Drosophila melanogaster: one gene and its partner. The protein of the gene in region 2 interacts with the protein of the main gene of each other region in a biochemical or structural test. Each region holds a gene or a part of one and is shown on either strand. Other genes may lie near its edges.

Region 1 (5,593 bases), 6.8 Mb from region 2:
CCATTACAAATCAATTTGGCTAAGACTGTGGCTAACCGTTCTGTGAACCAATAAAAACTAATCCAACGAGCTGGTCAAAAAGACAAAGGCATCACCGTCGAGCTGTTGACCACTGATTTCGCGATTCGGATGAGTTTCAGTTTCCCTTCGACCGGGAACGGTAACGGACGCATTCGAAATACTATATAGTAAGCCCGACGAACATATTGTATACAGCAATGCAGTGGCAATTGTTTACTGCCCTAGTGCTTTTTGTAGCATGGAGTTGTCCTTCGCAAGGAGTAAGGATATCCGCAAACGAGATGGAGCGACGCTTGCCGCAAAAGCAGGCAAAGATTGGGTGAGCAAACGTTGACGACTAACAATGAAGTTTTGATTTTCGACAGATATGACATTTATATAACCACTTTTTGGTATTTTCTGAACCTTATTTAATCCAATAATTCATAGTAGATTATTATTGCATATTATAGATATCACATAAACAATTCAAACAACTATATGCTTATATAGGATACATTTTTTTATAAAACAATTATATTTGAGTTGAAAAAAGTATAACTATGACATTTTAAAGTTAAACTTTGAACGAAATTTTTATTCTAGCTCCAGAAACTATCCCATCGAGTATGTCCTGTTGCCGAGTGCTCGTGGTGGATACAGAAGGCGCTATATTCATAGTCTGGGAAAAGCAGCTCCTACAACAACTGAACGCCCGTTGGTTCGTGTTTGGAATAGCTTCGTCCGCAGTGTTCAGCCCGCTTTCAGTTTCCGTAACCTGACCAATCCGTTGGCCAACTTCTTTAACGATGGCAGTACGAACATCATCGAGACGTCGCCGGTTTATCTGCAGTCCTACGATGAAGATCAGGAGCTGCAGCTTGAGGAACCAGCTCAAGTGGCCTCACAGGCTACCAAAAAACGCAAGCGAAAGCGCCGCAAGCAACAAAAGCGCCGACCGAGCTACGACTCGGCGGAGAACGATGATGCCTACAGCCCTTACGATCCCTACTTTGTGCCACCTTCTCCGCCGCGGTCCGCCGAGCCGATGTTCTTCTACGACACCAATTCCGGTAGCTACTACGGAGTACAGCGCTTCAGTCCTCAGGATTTCCAATCTAATTTTTACGGCAGCTTTTTATTCCGCCGCCTAGGGAGGCAGAGGATGTGGAAGGCGAGCATGAGGAAGAGGCGCCCGTAATGAGAAGACTCGGAACCAGAAAGGTGACCCTACTTCGACCACTGCCCCTATTGTCGGCCAAGGGCCAATCATTGACGAAGCTATTAGAAGTCAGCAAACCGGAGCATCCCATTGAGAATGAAGATGCAGCAGAGGAAACAGACAGCAGCGCACCGAGCGATGCACCGACTAGCGATGACGACGATGGTGATGTCGAAGCCCATTCACCGCTCTCCGAGAGCATGCGCAATACTCTTGGCACGTATATGCGCGACGATAGCCACACCCGCCAGCGCCAGAGACTCGCTAGCGATGCAGCAGGGGCTAACGATTCCGCCGCCAAAGTTTCGCCACGCCATCATCAACGACACCTTGCCCGGCTGAGCTCCTGGTAATCCATGCTAAGCTATAAACTATAAACTCTTTACTTATGGATGATCGTGTATTTATCGTATGTTACGTGCGAGTTAGGATGGGGAATGCATGATAATGAGGTGGCAGCTGTAAAATAGATTAGATATTCAAATAATTTTACTAGTTTCGCCTTAAAGATAGTGAGATAGACATCGAACTTACTATACTAGAAAACACAAGTAATTTGCTAGATCTGGGGCTATTGGACACGATCAGACGAGCCGCGTTAGACGCGAAGCGCTGCCGGCATTGGGATCTACAGGCAGGGCTACATGGTCAACATGCTGCACATTGCGGAAGTAAGCGTGCTGCAGTGCGTCCTTGGCTGAGATGCGCAGGTTGGGATCATAGCACAGCATTGACTGTAAGGTACAGAGTAGTGGATTTCCATTGGGGATGTACATTTTCTGCACTCACCATTATGAGTTCGTGCGCCTCGTGTTCGGTTATGGGTTGTGGCATGTTAGTTCCCTCCCATCTAGGGAACTTGGTCTTAAAGTCTGGCAGCTGCGTCACACCAGGCCAATTTGTTTCATCAGGTGTGCTTAAGGTACGGAAAATCCTATAAAGTTGATCGATCTCGCTGTCTCCAGGAAACAAGGAGCGGCGCATAATCTGTAATTCTAGGTTTAGTAATCAGATCCGCTTGGAATGTACATTCCATATAACACTACCATTTCAGAGAAAATGCAGCCTAGACTCCAGATGTCCACGCCCGTGGAGTAGAATTTCGTGCCCAACAGAATCTCTGGAGCTCGGTACCAGAGGGTGACGACTTCGTGTGTGTACGCCCGCATAGGCACGTTGAAGGCCCTTGCTAGGCCAAAGTCAGCCAACTGGAGTTGGAATTCGTTATTATCACAGAACCAACAGCGGGTAAAACCTTTAGTCTCACCTTTATTTTGCCCGCCGTGTCTACGAGAAGGTTCTGGGGCTTGAGATCGCGATGCAGGATACGATTCGTGTGGCAAAAGCCGACGGCATCTAATATCTGATGCATATAGCTCTGCAAAGTGGCAATGTGAAAATATTTTAATGGGCTGCAAACTAGTGTACTTACCTTTATCAACTGAGGGGTGAACACGTCTTTTTTCTTATCCATCAGCTTCTTTAGATCCATGTTCAGGTACTCGAATATCATGTACAGATTGTTGCCGGAAATGACTACGTCAAATAGTTGGACCACATTTGGGTGCTTAAGGTTCTTCAGCAGGGAGATCTCTCGAATGGCCGTCGAAGGAACACCCTCCGTTTCGCTGTGAATCGGAATTATGCTATTAAATAAAGCTAAATACTGGCAATCGTGATTACCCGTTTGCTAGCAAAAACCGATGATATCCTGTACCACGAAGCCGAATCATGTGGTGCTACGGATTACGGAAACGGCGCAGCTCCCACATAATTCGGGCTGCGGGGTGCAGGTGGATGACATTCGTCAAGGATAATATGTCCATATGTCACATAATATTTCCTATGGTTGCCATGAACAGCATCACAGTCCTGCTCCACCTGGATTACGCACCCTTCTAGCCGAATCTTTTTGAGGGCCACATCCTGGCCGGTGGAGTTGCTACGCGCTTTGTAAACTATACCGTAGGTGCCCTCGCCAATCTTTTCGGCGCGTTGAAAGTTATCTAGAATGGTGGTCATAACCTCGTAAACAATCCTTGAGATCGATGTTGGCAAAATAAACTAATATTTTGGAGGGAAATTCTTCTTCTTTGGTGATGCTAGCCATTCTCATGCAACCGCCGATAAGTCGCACAGCAGCGCCACATATCGATAAGAATTCCTTAATCGATTGTTCTGCGATGTGACAGCTCTAAGGTTGACTACCCCTATTTTAAATGTATTGTTTTCTTCTTTGCACAAAACTTTTAAAATAAAAAATAAAATTAACCGTTGAGACCCGTTAATGCCTATCACAGTTGGATCAAGACATTTAAAATTGATAAATAAAGTTAAAGCAAAAATCGTATTTATGCAGTTTCTTAATGGTTTCTAAATTTACTCTTTTAACTAATTAAATATATGTTTTTAATGAAATGTGACGTTCGTTTAATACGTTGATTCTCGCCTCTATCCAATTAATGTAGGGTGCGATGTACATGAAAAGATCTGCTCCTGAAAAAACCGAATCAAATTTGGCCAAGAGCTGCCGGATAATATAGTACTGTCTCGGTTCCCCATTTACTAGGCGAACTCCTGCCAGGATAGCGTCTGGATGCAAAGGAGCTCCGCGGATGGTCCTTCCAAAGACACTAGAATAAGGGTCTTTGGTCCTTCCATCCACGCAGAGAGCTGGCGCTAGGCCACGACGCGGATTGAGCAGTACGACGGTGCAGCGATAGCAGGTGGTAAATTGATTTCCATCCCTGAAGAGTATACGTCCCAGCCAAGGATGCTCATCCTGTTCCGCGAATGTTTTGTCGTTGTAAAGCTGATTTTCCAACGGTCTTCCACAGCGCTGAACTTCAGTGATTATACCAGTGGCTTATAAGTATAAATAAAGAAAATTGGTAGATAAGCATAATAAAGTAATTGGGTTACATCACTTACGCATAACCAGTATAACCAGTAGAACCTCGCTTACTGTCATCTCGCTCACAACAAAGTATTTTCCGATCGAGGAAATCACAATGATTTTGCACACTGAGAACAATAACCTCTTGCAGATAAAGTGTGAAGGTGTTTCTTATTGTCGCAATGCAATCTACTTTTCCAACAGGTATTTAGTTAAGTATGTACATACAATATGTGTGAAGAGGACTCTTTAACTTTGAATGAAACTTTGTTCTGAATTTAATGATTAGTAAATGCCATTTATCTACTATTTTCAATCATTTTTACATTTCTTCCGGACACTTAGTTATAGACTAAGATGGTTCCCAATCCAATTATTGGTATCTTGTGGTTTCTTTCGTACTGGCCGTGCGTTGATATTCACAAAAGATGCCAAGCTTCAGATCCATCTACAATTTTCATCCCAAATAGAGCTGCACCAGTTAGGAAATCTTTATCCTGGTGTACGCACGCACTCGTGACTCTGGCCAGGGTATGAAGGCTTTTCGGATGCTTATCCACCAGCGTACTGACCACATTGAATAGTCGGGCGATCACGTCATGGGAATCTGTATCCTCCGATACAGACAAACAGGATCTCAGTTGGGAGTTCAGTTTAAGGACGGCAACATCGTAAGACGGAACGATACTCTGGGTGAATAAAAAAGGCGACTTCTGTTTCCAAACATAAAGCTGTAGGCATCGCCCTTATCCAGGAATATAACACAGTGAGCAGGCACAAGGACATGGTTACGGCCACTCCGGAGCAGGGATACCACACCCAACCAGCTGACCTGGTGTACCTAATCCTGCCCAGCCAGTTGAATTGCTCTCGACTATCTTCTCGGTTTACTGGTCTTGCACTCGATCATTTTCTTGAACTGCTGGCCAGAGGAGAAGGGTCTTTGAGAATAAAGGCGGGGATCAGCGAGATTTAAATGCAATGCCTACTTCCTAGAGTCATTAACGATAATGTGACCAAAATAGCAGCCAATTTGAATGAGAGCATATCGCCATGCATTCCGTTTAGCATTGTGGTATGTTAAAATGTTGGGCTACAACTGAGTTAATTCCGGAGTGCGAGATTTGCCATGTAATTGCGGACCCTTATCGTTTAAAAAGACATTCCGTGCATTTTATGTGCGTTGCATTTAAAATTGTAATTGTAATTGCTTGTGGCAGGCGCACGCAATTCGCTTACACTCCACTCCATCTTGTCTCAATTTGTGTTTTACGTGTTGCAATAAAAAAAGTGCCATAAAAATCCGTATTTTAATTTGCTTTCGCCTCTGCGTTTATTTTTCGCGTGCTTAGGCTCTAGCTGTGAATGTTTTTGGCGCGCACATTTATGGCACATTAATCATTCCGGGCCACGGGCCGTATGCTTGATGACGACCTCACCGAATCCTTCAGCCACTTCGATCGGTACTCATGTCG
Region 2 (4,885 bases):
TGCAAAAATGCTGATCGCAAACTCGGTGTGTACAATTCAGGTATTCAGGAAGGGGTAGAATTTTGCAATAAACTCAAAATAATATTAATAGGAGCCAGCCATGAACGATTCCCCATTGTATGTGTACTTCCGATTGACTTCGCATGTGATTTGCTATCAAGAAAGTGTAAATAAACTAGCCTTAGTCGCAGCAATTACATTTCGTTTCGAGTGCACAATTAACTAGTTACAAGTCCAACGCTTTAATCTGTGTATGTGCGTGTCTGTATAGTGAATAGGTAACCGATATTAGCCTTTGGAATGGATGAGGAGCACGGAATGGTCAGGCGGTAGTGAGTCTTATCATTTTTGGCATGCTTAGCTATGTTTAGTTCGCCTCTTCTGATCCTTAAAATCGTATCCAAATGCGCTCTCATCCCCGCAGTCGTCGAGCACTTGCAGTGCTTTGTGAAGTTTTGTGTTGCTATATGCTCGCAACTGGAGCTGAGGAAAAAAACTAGCCATCCTAGAATGTGTATCTTCGAGCAAAGCGACAAATTTTATGCATGCCAATCTTAATGTGTAGAAATTGACAAAAAAATAAAAAAGAGCGAAAACAAACACTGCGCACTCATCATGGGCAATACAAGTGACAGCAACACAACATTTTTAAAAAGCGAAATTGTAATTGTATTTAACAATATTAGATAATAAATTAATATGTTCTAAAATTACGCCGATGGCCTATTTCTTCTCCTGCTCCTCGAGAAACTGCTGCAGCAGTGCGCCATCAATGGGAATGGTTAGCTGTTCGGAGCCATCAACGCTCCGTTTCGATTTGACCAGCTTGTGGTCGAGGAACTCGGTGAGCTGGGCACGCAGTGCCAGATCTGAGCTGACCAAAAATGCTTCGCGACAACTCGAATAGAGATCCCTGAACGGCATGCCCTGGTATGTGGCATTGCCCTTGTTCTTCAATTGATACTTAACAATCAGCATGTAAATGCCACGCGAATTGGTCGTTAGCGATGAGAAGACACTGCGCATCGAGGAGAGGGCCAATTCGCCGGAATTCTGCACCAGCAGCGAGTTCTCGAACGCAGTTTCGTTCGTATATGGCAGCATTGTTGTGCAGTCCCACCACGAGAAGTTGAAGCTGCACAGCTTTCCCTGGTCCCACACTGCAAATTCGTAAACAATAATTAGTTTTGCTGTCGCACTATAAAGATCTCAAAGCATCGGTGCACTCACACAGTGGGGTATTTATGTGATCAATGGAGGCCAGTAGATGAATGTTCGGTATGCGCGCCAGGCGCGAAAGAATCGCCTGTGCCTTCACATTGCGAAGCATGGCTCCATCCAGATTATGGACGATTAAGAACAAATGTGTTTCCGGTATCAGTGCGAACTCCTCCTCGATCATATCCACTGCTTCATGTGGATTAGCCGGACTAATGCCCGCATCTAATATGTCGCTTGTGATGCTATCCAGCATATCCTTGATGGTCAGACTGGGAAAGAAGCCATTCACCACCAATACCGTTTGCTTATGCAAAACTTCCCGATGGAATGACTGCAGCAGCTGGTGCTTGGAGCCCAATCCATATAGAAGTATATTGAAGCCTTCGTTCAGAATACACATCCACTTGGGAAAGTACGATCGATACTCCTCCATAATGGCATTAATAGAACCCTCATGCTCCGCCGATGTCTTGATTTCCGACAGCAAACTGAAAACACGATCGGCGGCCAGGCGAGGATTCTTTAGGCGATCCAAGGTGTGATCCGAAGTGAGGATCTTGCTGCTGGCATGCGAGTGAAAGTAACCATCGCTCTCGGGCACAAACTCATTCGATTTTTTCGCCCTCGCCGATTGTCGCAGGCGGGCTGCCGATGGAGTTTTCGGCAGAACGGGGACTACAATGGCACGGCGGGCTCTACTGGGCGTTTTGGGCTCATCATCGGCGGCGTCGTTGTCAGAGGAGTTGCCAGCATCGCTGCTACTGCTGCTGGAGGAGGATTCCTCGTCACTGGGCCGGAAATCGCTTTCATCTCCAGAAAAATCCTCATCTGAGTCGGCCACTATTTTGGCAATCTCTGAAAGTGATAATGAATTTATAAATAATGGAAAAAATGGTAAAAGGACGCAGAAAAAGGCTACCCACGCTTCTTGACGCGGGTGCGCACATGGGCGGGAGTCTTTGGCTGATCCATGGACTTCTTGCGCTTCGTATCCGGCGTCTTGACACCCAAACGCGGCGTTTTTGGGGTCTTGGGCGTGCAGGGCGTGGCATTTAGGGCGGCCAGTGCCATGGCATCGCGTTTCTTGGGCGTATTGAAGCCAAACATGCTGGTGCCGGCCACATTGTACTCGGATTGGATGAGATGCAGATCCTTGGCAGCGGGACGGGCAGCATTTTCCGACTCCTCGATGCTTTCTTCTTCTTCCTGATCCTCCGCATCGCTGCTCCGTTCATCGGACATTTCCACATAGTTCACAACAATTCGCTCTTCCTGGCCTTTTCCATTGCTTTCCTTCTGGTACGCCTGGTATTTCTTGGTGGGACTTGGACGTCGGGTGGAACGCCGACTGGTGACCTTGGGCTGAGATTCCACTGCATTCCCAACCATTGCCGTGTTCAAGTCCTCGGATTCCTCCTCCGAATTGGTGAGGTTCTCAATGGACATGAGGTTCTCCTTCCGCGGCGTCTTGTAACCGCCTTTGTTGCTGGCACTCATGACGCTTGCCACTTCACTGGGGGCCCTGATTATCAAAATATTCAATTGGTAAACAAATAGTTCGCAAAATATACTCAATGCTCAGAAGTGGCGGGAATTATCGATAACTAAGACATGCCAAGAGTGTGGCCAGCTCTCGACCTAGGAAGTAGCTAAGTTTCTAGCGTAAAAAAAACTAAAGGGGCATGACAATTAAAACACAAATGTTATAAATATTTGTATAAATATATATTTATATAGGTAATAATTACAAAAAGAAATTCCGTGACACAGTTTTTAGAAATAACTATATTGTTCGAATAAGAATTGCATACGTTATCGATAAATTTAAATTAGAATCCAGTCACTGACAAAAGCTGAAGTGTTTGTTGGCAACACGTGCGCGTACAAAGCGGTTATTTTTTCACTGTCACAAATTCCTTGCGGATTAACCACAAACGTTTTTAAAACTAAAAAGTGTTAAAATCGGTAAGTTTAGGAAAAACAATATTTGAAGATGGGAAAATTACGCTACGTTCTTATTCTGAATTGCGGTCGTCAATGGACTTGCGGTTAATTTTCAAATAATATTGCCTATATTGGCAAAATAATAACACAAAGTAGATTTGCGTTTTCAGATATATTCAAACAGGTTCAAAGAGTATTCAACTTCCATGAAAATGGCTTGGCGAAATTGATTGTAACTGGAATATGTAGAATATTTAGCATATGTTGTGTCGTTTTAATTAAAGTTTAAAAACTTCGTAAGCCTTATTTTTCCTTTTTTAATTAACGATCAAGTTTACTTCCATCAGTGCGCTGTAAATCGAAAACCAACCGATATCGATATCGTCCTGTTCTCTTTCTTCCCACGTTCGTTCAATGCACTGAAGCGCGTGCCCAGCGAGCTTCGAATTTAAACGCGTTTAGTGAACGTATCGCATGTTTGTGAGTTGTGAATCGCGCACTTAAATTCTAAAGGATTCCACCTTTTTCAAAACGAAAACATAGAAAGTTCTCGTCCAGCGTAAATAGATTTTCACTTTGTATTTCATCGCGTGCTAAAAGTTCTGTTAGCGCCATTTTGCTGCGTTTCCTTTAACGCGCCGTTCTTTCATTCACACGTTCTTGCGTTGTTACTTTGAATTGAAGAAATGGAAAAGTCGGAGGAAAAGACATGCGTCGTCTGTGGCACTCCGACCAGATTGATGTGCCAGCGGTGTGGAGAACCGTACTGCAATGAAAAGTGCCAGAAATTGGATTGGCAGAGGCACAGGCAGGTGTGCATCATTATGCCGTGAGTTAAATTAGTAAATCCGTTGCGCAGCAGTGCATTAAGTTAGGGGTTTTTAATTCTTATACAATACAAATGCGTTTCCAGACCCTTGGTGGAGTGCCGGCCTCTTCAACCGGCGTTGAATCCAATCCAGAGCGTAGAGAACCAAGTTGCTCTGGCTAAAACTCGCACTAAATCGCCAATCCCATGTGTGGAGCCCACAGTTGCTGTGCCGAACAAGCCGGATCTATCGGAAAACTGGCGCAAACATTTGCTGCCGTCGGGCATGGAGTTTTTCAAGTGCCGCGTGACTTTCATGGAGAACGATGGACCCATTTGGGTGGTGCACGTGGCGAATGTGGAGGCCATTGAGCGAATGACGGTCAACATGCAGCGCTGCATGCAGAATAAGAAGATGATTCGTATGGAAGGAGTGCGGGAGGACACCCTCGTGGCCATCAGTGTGGGCGACAAGGTCCATCGCGGTCATGTTTTGACGGTTTGCCAAAAGAAGCAAGAAGCCAATGTCCGTATGATTGACCACGGTCAGATAGTAGCTACACCGTTTCGGGATATCTACACCATTGTGCCCAAGATGGCCGAAAGCAAGGCGTTCGCTTTCCGTGTTCAATTGCCCACGAACACTGGAGTTCAGGACATTAAGAACTTGACGCTCCGTATGTTGGGAACCAAAACCAGCGACGGAGCTTATCACGTCCATCTAAAGCCCAAGATGATAATACCACTAAGTTTGCCCTTGGAGATGCTGCAGCTTAATCCAGAAGTCAAAGTCATCCGGGTCTTTAAGGCAAATCCAAAGCATAACGAACCGCAGCTGGCCCTACTCCAGATCAACGTGATGGGCCATGTCAACGCAGACTTAAACAACCGCATAGCCGAGAAGCCAAGACA

The links.
Region 1: of the proteins of Orc2 (region 2) and Cdk2, one has a biochemical effect on the other in vitro, tested with the Drosophila melanogaster proteins (one study listed by BioGRID).

What each region holds. Positions count from the first base shown.
Region 1 is NT_033777.3:20,733,348-20,738,940, reverse strand, and holds Cdk2 (Cyclin-dependent kinase 2), read right to left. Parts: upstream 3,319-5,593; 5' UTR 3,245-3,318; coding exon 3,117-3,244; intron 3,019-3,116; exon of another isoform or gene 2,929-3,018; intron 2,851-2,928; coding exon 2,655-2,850; intron 2,601-2,654; coding exon 2,490-2,600; intron 2,431-2,489; coding exon 2,269-2,430; intron 2,210-2,268; coding exon 2,012-2,209; intron 1,957-2,011; coding exon 1,807-1,956; 3' UTR 1,757-1,806; exon of another isoform or gene 1,682-1,756; 3' UTR 1,576-1,681; coding exon of another isoform or gene 607-1,575; 3' UTR 527-606; downstream 1-526. UniProt on the Drosophila melanogaster protein: Like Cdk1, could play a key role in the control of the eukaryotic cell cycle.
Region 2 is NT_033777.3:13,962,841-13,967,725, reverse strand, and holds Orc2 (origin recognition complex subunit 2), read right to left. Parts: upstream 2,842-4,885; 5' UTR 2,793-2,841; intron 2,735-2,792; 5' UTR 2,719-2,734; coding exon 2,145-2,718; intron 2,077-2,144; coding exon 1,231-2,076; intron 1,161-1,230; coding exon 724-1,160; 3' UTR 651-723; downstream 1-650. Other genes in the region: Kots (kotsubu), read left to right, coding at 3,852-3,994, 4,079-4,885. UniProt on the Drosophila melanogaster protein: Component of the origin recognition complex (ORC) that binds origins of replication. DNA-binding is ATP-dependent, however specific DNA sequences that define origins of replication have not been identified so far.